Linked DNA regions of Schizosaccharomyces pombe. The gene in region 2 interacts genetically with the main gene of each other region. Each region holds a gene or a part of one and is shown on either strand. Other genes may lie near its edges.

What was found.
Region 1: of cnp1 (region 2) and spt6, extra expression of one is lethal in a mutant of the other (dosage lethality), as found in Schizosaccharomyces pombe (one study listed by BioGRID).
Region 3: of cnp1 (region 2) and ams2, extra expression of one rescues a mutant of the other (dosage rescue), as found in Schizosaccharomyces pombe (2 studies listed by BioGRID).

What each region holds. Positions count from the first base shown.
Region 1 is NC_003424.3:4,211,976-4,218,878, forward strand, and holds spt6 (transcription elongation factor Spt6), read right to left. Parts: upstream 4,887-6,903; 5' UTR 4,829-4,886; coding exon 731-4,828; 3' UTR 501-730; downstream 1-500. Other genes in the region: mrc1 (claspin), read right to left, coding at 1-368; ATP-dependent RNA helicase Has1, read right to left, coding at 5,443-6,903. UniProt on the Schizosaccharomyces pombe protein: Histone H3-H4 chaperone that plays a role in maintenance of chromatin structure during RNA polymerase II transcription elongation thereby repressing transcription initiation from cryptic promoters.
Region 2 is NC_003423.3:3,536,338-3,540,993, reverse strand, and holds cnp1 (centromere-specific histone H3 CENP-A), read right to left. Parts: upstream 2,491-4,656; 5' UTR 2,394-2,490; coding exon 2,031-2,393; 3' UTR 1,791-2,030; coding exon of another isoform or gene 1,302-1,790; 3' UTR 831-1,301; downstream 1-830. Other genes in the region: adi1 (acireductone dioxygenase family protein), read right to left, coding at 236-772; pth3 (peptide release factor), read left to right, coding at 1,302-1,790; RNase P subunit Rpr2, read left to right, coding at 3,111-3,434; signal peptidase complex subunit Spc1, read right to left, coding at 3,569-3,634, 3,690-3,776, 3,822-3,905. UniProt on the Schizosaccharomyces pombe protein: Histone H3-like nucleosomal protein that is specifically found in centromeric nucleosomes. Replaces conventional H3 in the nucleosome core of centromeric chromatin that serves as an assembly site for the inner kinetochore.
Region 3 is NC_003421.2:1,999,084-2,004,864, forward strand, and holds ams2 (GATA-type transcription factor Ams2), read left to right. Parts: upstream 1-2,075; 5' UTR 2,076-2,208; coding exon 2,209-2,248; exon of another isoform or gene 2,249-2,345; coding exon 2,346-4,399; 3' UTR 4,400-5,281; downstream 5,282-5,781. Other genes in the region: nucleoporin Nup186, read right to left, coding at 1-233; serine/threonine protein phosphatase PP2C catalytic subunit Ptc1, read left to right, coding at 5,596-5,781. UniProt on the Schizosaccharomyces pombe protein: Required for proper chromosome segregation via regulation of CENP-A localization to the centromere.

The sequences.
Region 1 (6,903 bases), on a different chromosome or scaffold from region 2:
TCTTGAGTTTCAATTTGTTCAACCTCCTTTTTTTGGAGAGAAGACTTACCACCTTGTTGATTTAATAATCGCCTAACACGTTCATAAGCAGAGTCAAAATTAGATAAAAAATTCGTATCAGAATGAAGATAGATTTCGCTGCTATACGAGCGATTTTTCTGATTCTCTAAATTGCCAACGGTACTCTCTTTATCCAAAGATGCTTCAGATACAGCATTGCTAGACAATTGCATATCAACACTCGCCAACATTTTCCTCACCCTAGTGCGAGGCGTATCTAAAATATCCTCTTGATCATCATTGATGGAAGCCTCATCAGAAGAATCCATTCTGTGCAACTCATCAGCGTTCTCGTCTAAAGATGCCATAGATTTAAGCACCACAAAGCTCTTATTGAACGAGTAATGGTAGTTGCTTTGCCGCGATACATCTCTTAGTCCTCCTTAGAATTCATCAACAAACGCGACGCGTCTTGACGCGTCGCGACTTTCCAAGCTGCGCTCTATTAACAAGAAAACTACAACATATATACATAAAAATACAGGGTATTAAGAGAATTTATTGTAAAAAAAAAAACATATAGATATCAACTGTATAAAAAGGGATATTTCAATATTAATGTGCCAAAAATTCGGTGAAAATGAAATAAACCAAGGGTGGTTTTCTTTAATTATGTAAAACAAATGTCACGTAGTTGCAGATAAGAGTAAAGCGTTTAAACCATCAATGCTCACATCCGTCTAAAATTTTTAGTTCGAGCAGCATACAGCAATTTGAAACCATTGCAAAGTGCAGTCATATCACCATAAACGTTGCCCTGTAAAAAAAACGCATTTGGAATAACCTTCACCGGCCATGCCGTTACAGGACTATTAACACTAGCTTTGAAACATAAGATAAAGTATCCAGGATGTTGATGATCAAAGCAAAATGCATAACAGGATCGTTTAGGATTTGCCTCAGAATAACTCTCAAGCCATTTTTCGGTTTCCGCTTGTGTACCCTTTCGAAATTTATCATGTATACACATTTCATCTATTTTTTTAGCAATGGCTTTAATATGTAAAACAATCAGCTCATCGAGATCACTGTATTGATAAGTCATTTTTTCAAATCTTCCCTTTACTAGTAATTTCTGACCAATTGTAAACTCATTTTCTTTTTCCAATTCTAACACATCGATATGTTGGTAGGAGCCTTCAGCGACTTTCCATGTAACGACAATATGGTCAGAGCCCTTAGAAGATGGACGTATAACTAGATCGCCAACTTGCATTTTCGACAGATATGCTTCGGCTTGAGAGGCATTTAAATCCTTAAATAACGGGTGCTTAATTACGCGAGCAACTCGTTGTTCAGCCTGTGTTTCGGCCTGCATCCTCTCAGTATCCCGCTTTTCAGCCTCAGTATCCCAATAAGATGTACGATGAGAGCTAGTTTGTCTTTTAGAATTTGCCGATTGTAAAACACTATTTCTAAGTGAAAGATCAACCATAAAATTAGCCTCGTCCAAAGAAATAATTACACCTTCGACTGTTTGACCAACCTGAAGCAATTGGGGAGGGGGTATAAAATCGTCACTCACTTCATCGGCTTTAATATTTCCATCAATTCCACAATCGAGTTTGACGGCAACGAACCTATTAGTAACTCGCCTAACATTCACGGGTACAATTGCATCTGCTTGCAACTCTTCTGGATTTTCTCCGGTTAACATTAGGAAAATTTCCGAAGGTGTCAGCTTATGGAATACATTCCTTTGCTCTCCATAAGGATCCTTCAACTCCAGACGGATCTTTTCAAGAGTGTTTCGCTTCTTCTGGTGAAATTCACGTTCCAGTTGATCAGCATACTCTTCAAGAACAAGCTCATCAAGTTTTCCTGTTTCGTTTTCCTCTAAAAGGTGGTAAACCACCCCTCGATTGGTTTCAAGCTCTTCAATATCTTCCTCGTCAAGTTCTAGTGCATCACTTGCCATTTTTCTAGCTAACTCGTAGTCTTCATTATGTATCCTTGTAGAATCTAAAATATCCATATTGGGATACTCATCATTAGGAATAATGAAGAAAGAAGAGCAATTAATGAAAACTTTTCTCGACATTATTTGTTTTGAAATTAAATCACTACGATTATCAATACGTCCACCGGTAGCAGCGATTTTCTTTAAAACATAATCTGCTTTGCGAGGACCTAATCCCGCTATGTAGGGAAGTATATTAGCTTCATATTTGTTAGTCACTGCTTCGTTAATGTCAATACCCACCAAAGAAGATATATCGACTAACGCAGTTTCCAAGTATTTCCAGAGAACATCAGGGGGAAGCAAATGTTGCCAAGGATCAAATGATAAAGACATCAAATCACGACCCATAGCAGCGTACTCAAACAGAGGGTTTTGTACATACCGAGCCAATGCAACACAGTAGCAAGAAATAGTTGGTAGAGTAGGAAATTCATCAACAGCACGAGTAGAATTCTGATATAGACGAGCGACCTCATCATTCACCATGATTAGATCTACTGGTTCGTGAGACGTTAACGAATCTTGAACGTGTTGACGAATTTTATGAGCAGAAACGCTCATTCCCGAAACACCTATAACATCTGGCTTAACTTTTTCGACAAATTCAGCAAACATTGCTTGATTAGCAAGATCTCGTAGATCGGCAAGTTTTAATGAATCAGTAGGCTCACCCACATCATCAACAAATACGCAGATAATGGCATCAGACGATTCACCTTTTCCATTGGAGACGGCAAGGACTGATGGAATAGTGCCACGATCGAAATTTTTAGTTGAGGGCTCATAGGGAGCTTGATCAAGTCTTGAAAACAATTGATTTCGGCAGCGCATTCCAAGTTCGTCCAGGTATCGAGAACGTAAAGTTTCACGTATGGCATCGGGTGCTAATGCAGAAAACCTTTTAAATACTTCTTTTAATACCAATTCTCTCTGAGCATTCCATTGCATTGCGTTCTCAGAAAAATTATCTGAAACAAAAAGCTCGAGTAAACCTTTAAAAACATCATCAGGATCTTCAAATTCAATCGATAGTTGAATTAAGCCCTCTTCTTCGGCCTTTAACATTTTTAAAAATAGGATTGGCTCTAACTCAAACGAGCCCAAGGGTTTCCGTTTTAAATACTTAAATTCATAATAAGGATGCTCACTACCTATTTTACGGACACCTTTTTGAGTGGCCAAAACAGTAACGACTCCAGCATTGTACAATTTGTCACGGAAAGACTTTCGAAATTGAGGATCATGAATAATTTCCTCTGCTAAAACTCTACGTGCCTTTTGAAGTACCTGCTCAGGTGATGACAGCTCATTTGTCACATAAGTACGACTTAGTTCTTCAGGCGAAAGGGTGTTGTCTTCCACAAAACGGAGACGAGCACCCTGTGCTACGTTGAACGAAAAGTCTTTAGCACTCATACCAAATTCTTTGACGAGATTGTAAAGTGATGATTTTCTAAATTTTTCAAAAAAAGAATACTTCGAACCTTGTGGACGACGAAGACCAGTACCCATCAGTAAGGCACGATCACGGATTTGTTCAGAATAAGTGAAATGTATGTAATCATTAAGGTCATCAATTGCATCAAGAGAGGAAGCAGCTTCACAGAAGGGAACTACTAAATCATCATTAATTCCCAAATCAGAGTACAATTTTAGGATATCTTGCTTCTTAGAATGAAGTGACCAAAACTTGGTGCAAAGGAAAAAAATATTCCACAAATCATTTTGACTTAATAAAGGAGTAATTGTGTTCCTCTCACGATTGTTATGCACTATATAATCACGACGGTGCTGCCATATGAAGGGTACTTCAAGACTATCACGAATAAAGAAGTGAACTACATAGCGAACAGCAGTTTGAAACGGCTCATATAGTTCAGCATCAATATCACGCCTATTTTTTAAGAGATAATCGATAATCCAAGCAACTTGTTCCCTAAATTCATCTTCAGAGCAATCAATGTTCCTCTTCATATAAAGTTGCATACGTTCAGGTTCATCCGTGATTCTTATGATCTCATCCTCCTCGGTAAGCATTTTATCTTTTAGTTCACTGGGCTCAAAAATGGTCTTCAAACTGACAGACTCTTCTAACTCGTCTTCAGCATCTTCATCTTCAAGGGCAAATGCGTAATCTGTTCCATCGCCAAAGACTTCGTATATTTGTATATAATCATCATCCGATATTCCTAAAGCCTCAGGTCGTACTGATTCTATGGGCGGACCAGTCTCATATTTTTCTTCTTGACGCTCTTCGTCTTCAAATTCGTCTTGTTCAATGAAATCTGCAAATTCGTCGATAACGCCAGCGCGGTGGCCTTGCGTGCGATTAGGAGCTTCATCATCGACTTCGTTTTCTTCTTCTTCTTCTTCCTCAGAAAATATGTTTTCAAGAGTCTCTTCTTGATCTCTTCCACGTTTTAAACGTCTCAACTTAGAAAAACGAGAGCCTTGGCCTGTATTCTCCATGACAAGTTCCAGATCTTCCTCATCAAGCATATCTTGATCAGCAGTACTTTCGGCATGCTTCTTACGTTTCTTTTTGCGCCGAATTTCCTGAGGAACTTCGTCTTCTTCATCTTCGACGATGAAACCCTCTCTAACTTGTCGCTCAGCTTCTTCATCAGTTGCAGATTCTTCAGAAGAGTCATTCTCATCATTGTCATTATCTAAAGGAATTCCATCCTTTTCCTCTTCATTGTTGTTGTCATCCACATTTGTGCCTTCTCCATTTTCAGCTGGATAACCATCCTCATTTTTATCACCATTGGTGGTTGGTGACCCGACAACTTCGTTTTCACTCATTCCTATTTCTATAGTGGACGAAGGAACGGCTTCTCGAAGGTTTGCGGTCAATTGTGGCAGAGAAATACAATACTTGAAGATGCGCTTGCTTTAGATGGTGATATTTTAATAAAAGTTAATGCAGCATCATAAAACATTTAAGGAGCACATTAAAATTCACTAGTATGTTATAAGACAACGCAACGTGCTTTGTAGTTCTAACAAATATTCAATCGTACATATAAGCATAAAAATAAAGTGCTTTGCAAGAGCTAATATGCAATGCTGCTAATCTGAATTGTTGTTACAAAATACCACAGTCCTTGATATACAAGACAGACGTTGTTGTTACGATCACGACCATTCGTTGCAATGATTAGTTTTGGCTTTATTTATAGCCGATATCAAACTCCCTTTGAATAACTTACACGGGTATTTACAATAAAAATTATGAAATCCATTATTTCAAACACGTAAACCTTTTGAGCGAAAACAACCCTATTTACCAATATTAAAAGGATGAAAGGAAAAAAAAATTCCCTTCAACCATTCAAAATCCAAGTCATTTGTAAAAGCCAGAAAAACCGAATTAAATAAACCTTTTAAATGAAATCAACTTCTAATATGAACGAAGTTTAGCGGCTCCATCCACGCTCTTTGTCTTGAGAAATAGCTGATGATCTTTGTTTTGAATAAACATCAACGTGATTCTTCTTATTATAACCCGCACGTCGTTCTTTTTTGTCTGTTCGTCCACTAGCACCAATAGTGATATTGACGTTTGGAGGATGAGCAAAACCGAATGATTTAGCAACTTTTGCGAGATCCAATTTATTAATATCAAAGATAGATTTTAAAGAATATGAGGCATAGGCCTGCAAGTAGGAACGGTATCCATCCTTTGCAGACTGCTGCAAATAATAATTTTTGGAAACAAGCTTTTCGAGCTGAGATTGAACATTAGCAACTTTATTGGCAGGAAATTCAAACTCATTCAAAGAAACCTTGGCAGTTTTCAAATAACGAAGGAAACCGAGCTCAGAAGGAGCGAGGAACATAAGGGATTTACCAGTTCCCTTTGTTCCTCTAGCTGTACGACCTACACGATGAATATAATCTCGGGGGTCATCAGGAGGATCGTACTGCACGATCCAGTCAACGGCTGGAATATCTAACCCGCGTGCAGCAACATTGGTGCAAAGTAGTATTCCCTTTTCGGCATTGCAGAATTCAAAAAAGGTGTTTGTACGACGCTGTTGCTTTTGCTTGCCATGAAGATCAAGTACTGGTAAATCTATATAGTTCAGTAATTCTGCCATATATTTGACAGAAGCACAAGATGACATGAAAACAATAACTTTTTTCTTCAAATTGCGTTTTAAGAAGGAAAATAAAAGAAGAAACCGTTTGTCAGAATCAACTACAACATAACCTTGCTCCAATCCTTCAACGGTAGAGGTAGGCTTACCAGAATCAACGTTAACATACAAGGGTCCGGGCTTAAGAGAGATACGAGCAAGATCTTCAACTTTAGTTGTCTGTGTAGCAGAAAACAGGAGGGTTTGTCGATTTTCCGAGGGAAGGATTTTCATGATTTGTCTCATTTCGTCCTCAAAACCAATCTCCAAAATTCTGTCGGCTTCGTCAATCACTAAGGATCGTAAATTGCGGAATACAAATCCTTTGGTATTTTGCAAGTGATCCAGTAAACGACCAGGAGTAGCAACTAATAGGTTAACACCTTTCACCAATTTATCAGCTTCAGCACGGCGATTAGCACCGCCAATGACGATACCAAATGTTTGGTGATGGTATTTCAACAACTCCTTTGCGACACCAAAAATTTGAAGAGCCAATTCACGAGTAGGAGATATAATAATAACACCAGTACCATTACGAGGCTTAAATTTCAATGCATAAAGCATTTCAATGGTAGGAATTAGAAAAGCCAAAGTTTTACCACTACCAGTTTTAGCTGCACCTAAAACATCACGACCGGCCAAAAGAGGAGGAATAGAGCGCTTTTGAATTTCTGTCATCGTTTCAAAGCCCATTTCTTTAATTGCCTTTTGGATGTTTTCAGAGAGTTGTAGGTC
Region 2 (4,656 bases):
TAGGTAGGGACTGTTGTGTCGTAGCGAGATGAAAGAATTGTGTGTATTGAAAGCTGCATTCCAATAAGCAAATACAATCAGTAACTTAAAATAATATGATCATAAATGATTAGTGACTATATTTATTACTATCTTTATTGTACATTAAACCCTTATAAAGGAAGTTTCTTATTAATATCTAGTGTTAATCCATACGTAAGATTATTGATATAAATCAGTTGTTGCATATACCTAATTAAACATAAACACTTTTTTTAATACTGTTCAAATAACTTTTTCGTGCATCCAGTTCCTCGCTGGTTGAATCTGTGCGAGACAATGCAATCCATTTTGGATTTTCATGAAACAAGCGCATTGCGTGTATATAGTCATCAGTGGTCGTAGTAAAACGATGATAAATTCCAGGAGGAAGTATTATTAAGTCGCCTTTCTCAACAAAAATTCGAACCCATCTATCATCGACAGAACGGACATCAAAGTAACCATTACCATCGAGAATTAATCGAATTTCCTCATCTTCGTGCAAATGTTCTTCAAAGAACTTCTTTACCATATTGTCATAACGATCTCCAAGTCCTTTTCTACTAACAACAACTTCATCCCGATTTTTAAATCCATATTCTTTCATAAGGCCATCGGCGAAGGTATGTAGATCTCCATCATGATGTCTATAGGACACTTTAGCAGCTTCTAAATCTTCAGCTGAAACTTCAATCTTTGAGTCATTCGGCTTTCTTTGATCGCCTTCGTCTTGGAAAATGTATGCTCTCATTGATGTTATTTTTATGTTGAGTCACGAGCAAATTAAAGAAAATTAAGACTTTTTTAAATTATTGAACGAAAAACTTTAGACTAAACAGAAGAGGTGTCAATTGGAAAGCAGGCAAAACACTACTCGAGTGAGAGTAAAGGTGAAAATAAAAAAAAAAAAAAAAATTCTTCTGTGCATGTAATGTAATACAGTATCTATTGCATTATGCCAAACAAATATTATTGGGGCAGTGTGACAATAGAATATTACATTAAAGAGTTTTAAACTTATGCAATAAGTGCGCAATTTTGTTCATCGATATTCCAACATCGTGAATTTTCTGCTAATTTAGAAGTTTCTGTTTTCTTCTTTTTTGTAACAGTAACCTTTGAGAAAAGCAATAATACAAAATCCCCTTATAACTTTTTAATGTATTAAGCAAGTTTCACGCTAATCAACCAGACCGCCTATTATCATTCCAAAGGACAAGGTTGTTTATTTTAGTCAAGTTTGTCTATTTATTAGCAGTAACACGTTTAGGTGAACATAGATGCTGTGCGCAGCACGAAAGTGTTTGAACAAAACATTTATTTCAGTAAGACTAAATGCATTTTCTTGTCTGGCAGAACTAAATTTTCGGCATACATGGTATTGCTCTAAAAAAGAAACACCTTATCAACTAGAAAGACTCCAAGAAGAAGATATTGAGGAAACATTTATATGTGGAAAGGGCCCTGGTGGACAAAAAATAAATAAAACTAGCATAGTGGCCCAAGTCAAACATATTCCGACGGGAATTATCGTTCGATCTCAAGACACACGTTCACGTGAACAAAATCGTTGTATTGCAAGGAAACGGTTAACGGAGAAAGTAGATGAATTCAAACACGGGAACGATAGTCTTTTAGCAAGAAAAGTTCAACGTATTGTCAAGAAGAAAAAACAGCGAGAGAAAAAAAGTAAAAGGAAGTATGGAAATAAGATTGATGACCAGGATTCCAGCCTGAATAATAATGAAGCGAAACAAGACGTGATCTAATTTGCGTTGCTTCGGTACTCACATGGCATTAACTAGGAGTGAGATTTATCATTCATTATGAGCATATTCGTACATTTTTTTTAATAATTCTTTGGTAGATAGCATGCTTAGAGTCTTATAATGAGTAGCTAAAGATCTGTCTCAAAATCACCTGATATCAATTAAACTGATCATACCTTAGCAATTCCAATTTCAATATGATTAAGCGTAAAACTATTTTTTTTTGTTGAATATATAGTGTCAAGCACCACGAATCCTCCTGGCTAATTGCATGTCTCGTTGCATAATCGTCACTCGTTTAGCATGAATAGCACATAAATTCGTATCTTCAAATAGATGAACCAAGAACGCTTCAGCCGCTTCCTGAAGACATTGCAGTGCCGTAGATTGCCAGCGCAAACCAACATCCGTTGAAAAATTGGCTACAAATTCTGAAGATATCTCTCGTACAATTCTTGAAAACGGGAGCCTTTGTATTAATAAGTCTGTAGACCTTTGATATTTTCGAATCTCTCTTAACGCCGTAGTACCTGGACGATATCTCTTTTTACGTGGCCGTGGAATAGGATCTCCAGGCTCAGCCATTAAAGATTTCTTTGCCATATTAAGTTGTTCCTATCAATTTCTTTTGGGAATAAAGGTTTTTAAACAGTAATTGTTGGAACAAATGCAAGAGCTCGATACAATGAGTTTTGGTTTTGACAGGGGTTTGACGCGTCGCGACTAGCATAGACTCTAAATTATTTAGCTCACTATTTAAAAATGTAAACAATCAAACAGAAGTTCTTTGTCAGAAAATACTAAAGCTACTGTTTTACAAGAAAATCATTAAAATACATGAAAATATTAGGCTCTTGTTCGTTCCACATCATCAGCTAAAAAGAACAAGTATTAATAATAGCTTACGAATATATGATTTCTCACTATTTATAGGTAAGAGAAATTAATCATATAAACCCAAGCGAAACTCAAGACCGATTTTTTTTTAATTGAATAAACATATGTGCTCTCTTTATATCTCGGTTATAATTGATCCAAAAGCCTTAAAAATTTATCGTACTCTTTTACAAAGAATTACATAACGCAGTTTACCGTGGAAAAACAAATTAAAAATTTGACCTATGGTAAAATCAGACTGCAACAAGCATTAACTATTTATTAATTAATTTAATGAAGGATTTTTATAAGAAACATAATTAAATTGTTAAGTTAAAAATAATTTTTTTGACTTTTGCATTCCATTATAAAAACGGAAAGTTGTTTGTTCTCTGTTTTGCAATTCCTTTAATAGCTCAAGTGTTTTAAACATAAACGGTCGAGATGAGTACAAAGTCAAAGGACCAACATGCAAGGGTATCATATTTATACCAGGCTTCGCAATTACTTTTTAGAAACGTTCAAGAACCTACATTGTCGAGACACTATATCTCTACAGCCAAGGATGTTTCACAAAAATCAGTAATGCGAATACACCCAGATATAAAGCGCACCATATGTAAAGGATGTAACTCTTTATTGGTACCAGGAAAGTCATGTTCAATAAGATTTGAGGAACCATCACGGAAAAATCCATCTATCGATCGTGTATTGTGGATATGCAAAAAATGTGCGTTTAAAAAAAGGTTTTCGGACAAAAGTTGTTAAAACATGTTTAGCATTACTTTTGGAATGAAAGATTATTTGTATTCTATAAAGCCGGAGCAACTTTTGTTTGGTATTTTGGTTCTTTAATTTCGCGAGATTGCGATTCAAGTAAAGAAAGATTCCCCATTTCCCGCTTACTCCTTTTTCTTTTGAAATTTTAAAGGGTTTTTGTTGTACATAGACCAAGCAGGAAGACACACCTATTTTTAAATGAATGTTAATATTACATGACTAGAAGCAAAAAAACTAGCTTACAAGAGCCACCAACGATGCTAAAATTAAAAACAATTTAATCACACAATAAGAATCTTGAACTAAATACCCATAAATGTACGAAATAACCTATAGATATATTAGTAAATAAATGAGATTTTATCCCTGACATACAGCACTTGTACATAGACCATAGTTCATATACTTTTGACACCTTAATTGTCCTGCAAAATCGATCGTACCTTCAAGATAGTTCATGGTATGCTTGCTCTTTCTCAAAACAGTAAAGTTGCTTTTTGTATTATGTGGTTACAACGAATGAATCTCGTTATCGTTCGGTTTACCATAATAACGTGTTGTAATCCAATAGCACGTTGTACATTGATGAATATGAAACAAAAAACAAGCAAAAAAAGAGGCATGAAAATATATAGGCAAATCGGTTGCTCCTTCATTTTCAATAGATGTAAATCAACACCTCAATGTCAAATTCGATTTGAAAATGAAAAAGCGGCTCATTGATGACCTATTAACATTATATAGAAATGATCTTTACAATTAACAGGTTAAGGTACTTCAGCGTTCATAAACGATTAATAATTAATAAAGATTCACCAACAAGGGCTTAATTTAAATGTATGTGACTTAAATCGTATATTAATTGCTTAGGTGGTTTTTTTTTTCATTTGGTGAAATTATCTTTTATTAGATGTGCGATTATCATAAATTTTGCTAGTACTTCATTGCTAAAAGAGGTCAAGTCTCCACTAACGGTATAAAACAAGCATTACACGTATACCTTAAGCAATTTGGGTCGTGCCAAAAGCAATTAGTAATGTGTAGCTGTTAAAGTTATTAGGTTCCATAAAATTAAGAGCTTATTGCTTCAAAGATTTGTCCTTTCCGATTTTAAAAGTTGAGGTCTTCTTAGGGATAATTGCTTCGGCTAATTTATAATAATTTCTAATAGATCACCTTCAGTATTGATAAATTGCCTACTTGAAAAGTC
Region 3 (5,781 bases), on a different chromosome or scaffold from region 2:
TGCTCATTGACTTTGTTGATTACACCGCCTAATTCAACTTCACCGGATTCCAATTTTTTGCGAGAATTAGCATTAGCTGGATCTAAAGCCAAAAATTTTAGAAAATCCTTTGAGTAGGATTCAAGACATTGTATTAACAAACGAGAAGAAACATTTGGATTGCTGGGATTACTTTCGATACACTGCAATAAGTATAAAAGAGCGGAAAAGTGCTGAGATTCCCAGACATCCATGGTACAGCTTCTCAAAACTAATGGGAACCGACCTGCAGTTGTCTTAAAATTAAAAGAGTGTGGAAGAATCCAGGTTTTATGATGTTCTGGCCTAGTTGTCGAGTTTGGTCCTAAAAGGAGGTATATAGTAAAGTAGAGAATAATAACAGAATGCTATTTAGGCAGTAGCGAAATTCTTCATTCGAAGATATCAACTCTAGTACGACTAAAAAGTTATATTATAATTTGAAAATATCGTGTTTTATTACCAAGATTGATGAAAATATTTTTGTTAAGTTGCTTGGGGAGCCGTTAAACCCAGCATGCAATGCCATGTGGGTATAAAGGATAAAATAATATACAACTAATAAACAAAATTAATTTTACAACTTTTTCGTTTTCGAAAGCTCCTTGAGTGACCAATGAAATGAGTGATACTACAGTTTCGAATAGCTCTTAAAATTCACAACGAAAGTACTAAAGTACTATAAGGATTAATTAAAATACAACTTTTAGAAAGAGTATTTGAATTAACTTTTTCCTCGTCTACCATACCTATAATCTCTAATTTGCTATAATAACTGTTAACTTAATTTAATTTACTCGTTGTACCTTCAATGAGGAAGTTCAGAGTTCATAGCAGAAATCCCTTTCGTTCATTGTATTTTAAAACCCTCTCTTTTCTTTTGTAAAATATTCTCTATTCATCCCATGTGTGTTACAGTTTCAATGGTGATTACAGACAAGTTAGAGAGCCCAAAATCTTCAGTATATAACTTGCTGAATTGCATAACAAAGGGCTTTATAATAAAAAGATTTCCAATACTTTTTAAATGCGACTGGGCAGCTGTACAATTGAATGTTCAGCATACCTAGTGCCTAGTGTAAACATTTATCGTGAGAAGACAAATTCGATGCGGTGGAAATCGTAAAAAGGGCAATCATAAATACAAAGAAAAATACAAAAGCATATCTTTTTTAAAAAAAAAGAAAACTTAGAGTAGCATTGGTTTTAAATAGTTGTATGACTTGTGTTCAATTGCGCGCTTCGTGCTTCCGATCACTAGCACACCAAGAAAGTCTCTTGTTTCATTTTTAGTATAATCTGTTACATTTATCACGTTTACTTGTTATTGAAGCAGCGGCCGTATAAATCACCTCTACAAGTCTAAATATACTCGATATTATAATAATCATAAATAAACCTTGAGCTAGAATACTTTTTAACCTTATATATATAAGTACATAAGTTCAAGCTCTCATTTTGGTCATAATAATGATACCAACCTGTTTTGTAACAACCTTAATAAACATAAAAGCATTCAATTCCTAACAATTATATAAAGAGCACAAGAAAAGTGATGCTCAAAGAATTTTACTTGCCAGAAATTAAAAGTTACCATTATCGCTTTTAGCTTCGGCGGTCATAGTGAGCTTGGAAAAGTTCAGCATCCATGAGAGTAAACGATATTGCCTACTCATTAATAAATATAGGAATTTAGCAATTATATAATATATTGAAAAATAAATAATTTATGCTTTCAATGCCTTTATTTTACTTTTTATAATGGAAATACCATTTGTTATAAAATTCCAAACATTAGGTAACACACATTACCAAGTAACAATATGGGGATTAGTGTCGTTTCGAGCGTATCTAAAGTCTTAAGTAAATCAAGTCAAAAACTGGGTTGTTCAAATATCTTCGAAAACGCGATAATTCACGCGTTATTTTTTTAAAAAATAGACATTCATATACATTTTTATTATAAAATTTAAAATTTACTGTATCTTTGGATGCCCGGAATTTTCATTAGGAAGCGCGACTCGACATTCATTTCATGCTAGCCAAAGATTTAACCCACCAACAACACAACACATTCTTCATCGATATTCCCCTATAGAATACGAATTGATTGTCAAAGTGTTCGTTCGTTGAAGGAGGAGGAACTCTTGAAGCTACGAGACCCAAGCCATTGTCTCCCCTTCGCGAACAATGATGGAAAAGTCTCTGAACACGGTAACGTCTTTACCTCGTATGTCTTGCTTTTCCAGCTAAATGGCTTTGCTCTTTAGCTCTTCATTTGTCTTTCATAATTTTATTCATTTTTTCTAATGTTTGTCTGTGTTTAGTTCGTGTTATTTATTGTATTGATCGCGCATCCGCGATTCGCTGTTTAGCAAAGTCTCAACATGCTGTGCCCATTCAGGTGCTGAAGGAAGTGGAACCGAAAAAAGTGATTTGCCAGGTAGACATTCAGCATGTTATACAAACAGTTTGCCGCTGTAGTCCTGAATTGAGTTGCAAATCACAAGGTGATTTTAGCGTGTATTTTTTAGACCATACGGAACCAGATGAACTCTTCGTCGGACTAGGCTATTGGTCTTCTTTGTTGTTATCTCCTACTCTTAATGCTGGCACGTCAAATTCCGACACAGTTTGGGTGAATGGGTTTATTGTAGAGTTCGGTATTCAACGGTCCATAGAAATCAAGTTGAGATTCCAATCCTTGCAGAACTCCTTCGAGGTTGGAACTCCAGAAACACATACGTCTTCTAAATTTTTATCTTCCACTTTACCTCCATCTCTTATATTTGATCCATCATCTTCCGAAAAATCCGATTCTATTTCTGGATCTTTGTTTGATACGAACTATACATGTCCTGTCAACATAAACGGTCTTTCCAAACAAAAGTCTGTCCGCGAATTAAAATCTCCTTCACGTCCCTCCGCATTAGCTGAAACAAATGTTGAAGAGCTTGAGTTAGATTCTTTGTTCCATGCGTCAAATGACATTTCATGCTCTGCAACTTCTTTCTCTGAGCCATACATACTCGATCATCAAGCGGCGCTTGACCATCCTGCTACTGACCCTGTATGTTCTGCGTCGTCTACTACTGTAAATTCTGCAGTAAGCACAAAAAAACGCCGACGTGAAAGTAGCACCATTTCGCCAGAGTCGGCTTATGTTGCAGCTCAGCTACAAAATCCATCTGAACGTGAACAAGTTCATGAATTTATTAAAGAACAAGTTCGAATAGCTCGTGGGCGCATTGAGAAAAAGTTTACCAATGTACGTGGGAAGAATCGAATTGAAGAACAACTTACCTTGAGCTTGCAAGAAGGGAAAATTCCACCATATTGTCAAAACTGTGGAACCATCAAAACTGCCAATTGGCGCAATGCTACGTACATGAACATAACTTTGATGCTTTGTAATGCATGTGGTATATATTGGACGAGTCGGCGCTCGATGCGTCCAAGAAATTTATGGTCTACCTATAAAGCATTTGAAACAGAGAAACCGTTGGAAAATGATGCATTTGCTCAGCTTGAGTTAGCCGTATATAAACTTTCCCAGCAACGAAAACTATCTATATCCATCTTCCGTGAGCTTGAAAATGCAGGACGGCACTCTCCTCTGAATAGACTTACGTCTTTAGACTCAACACACTCTGCACCTGATCCCAATCATATCTCAAAACCCTCTGTTGTTAATCAGCAGAAATCCAGAGGAGGTCCCCGTACTGCTAAGCTGAAAAATGACCTCAGACGCATACAATCATCTCCCATTGTTGCACCTACTCCTGATACATCATTTCGTGAGCCTTTATCCGAAATTGGGTCTAATGATAGTTGGCTGGTATTACCAAATTCACTAAGTGCCAATATACAAAATGATGTTTTAAGAAAAACTGATTTCATGTGTACTGACAAGGAAAACGTCGCTTTTCCTTTGAAAACCACAACAAAGCCTATGCCTAAAGTAAATAAAGAAGAGACAGAGCCAACTCTGCCTGTTTGCGATTCAGAAAAAGAAAATGATGATTTAGAGTGCTATTTCAGAACCCCTCCAAAACCAACTACCTTACAAAAGCAACAACAAAGTCCATCACCCTGGAGGTCAGAGTTATTTTTGTCTGACCCTGACCAAAACGTATTGACACCAAGGCATAAGCCAAAGTTTGATTTATCAAAGGCATTGTCTTCGGTTGCAAAATCCAATAACATTGAGAATTCACCTCAATTACCAGAAAGATATGATTTTTCTTTAGAATTGGGGTTGAATTCTCAACTCGATAATGAAGAAAGACGCGATATTCCTCTGATGACAGATTTGGTGATGCCAAGTAGTCCGCCCATGGTCCCTGCTGACAGGCATTTATCCGTTGAAAACACTTGTTGAAAGAGCGATAAAGGCGTACCTTTGCTTCACACATTACCCTTGTTCTTTAATTTTTTGTTTTATCAAGAAGTCATGTGTGATCAAAATTGACATCTTTCATTATTCGAGTCTTCTTGCTTTTTTATGATTTTTATTTTGATAATGACATCCTTAATTCGTTTTCTTAACCGCAAAAAAATGATTGTTGCTGTTAAAGTCCTTACTGCGTAAGAACTCCCAAGGCATGTCCCCTCAAATCCGTCCTTCGTTCTTTTTATTTCTAAAGCAATTTATTTTATTTTCTTTCATACCATGAGCCGTTATTACCTCCCCCTTGATTATTAAAATATTTCAAGTCGTTGCTTATTGTTGGCGGCATAGCCAAGAGCATGCGACAAGCATTCTATAAATCTTGTCGCAAAATAGAAGTTGGACACTATTTCTTTTAATCTTCTCAAATGTTCTTCGACTTCATCTTTGAGGCTCGGTTTATGGAAATTTTGGATACTTCGTGATAGTTCTGTCTGTTTTGCTTATACAAACAAATTATAATTTCATTAATTGTATTATGAAAGCCGATATGGACAAAGCCACATCCTTATTTTACATACGGAAAAAGTTACTTTTAATTATTTATATGAACACTGTTATTCTTGTTAGCATGTTTATGTTGCGAAACGTTTCTAATTGATTATTATGGGTAGACCGGATAATTGATATTTAGCAAATTCACTAGACGAACACATGACAAATTTTTTTCAGTAATGCGAACCAAAGTCACGCGAAAGCAAGTGTAAAAGTCGAAGGATTTCAATACATGGTTCAATATTTTTGTCTAGAATAAATCAAACGTTTAGTTCATATATTCAAAACAACAGCTTATTGCTGCTTACTATTTCTAATTTTCTAATAGCCTTTTGTTAGCATTTTTGTATTATAATGTAGTTCAATGCAGAGCGGATAACGGTTTAGTGGAAGTTAACCTAGTACGTAAAAATGATTTCCGAAGATCTCGGTATACCACGCGTGACGTAAATGCCCGAGTTTATTAGCACTGACTGACTTAACAAGTTTATACTTACGCAGAAACCCAAGGAAAATCGGTGTTTCTCGTATATACTATACAATCAGCAATTTTATACCTGATATTATAATTGAAGGTATTTAGTTAATTTGAAAAGCAATTTTTTTGTCGGTACTGAAGTGTTTGAACGAATATGAAGGGAAGCCATCCAAATGCAGGTTCCCTGTTGGAACCACTTCACAAGTTGAACCCATTTTCTGAAAATTCTACAAGTGGACATCGAAAAAACGCTAGTGATCATTCGGCGGATGGAGAAACTCGACCGATTGCAATTGAGATGAAGGATAGTAAAGGCAACACAGTCCCAGTTGGTAACTCG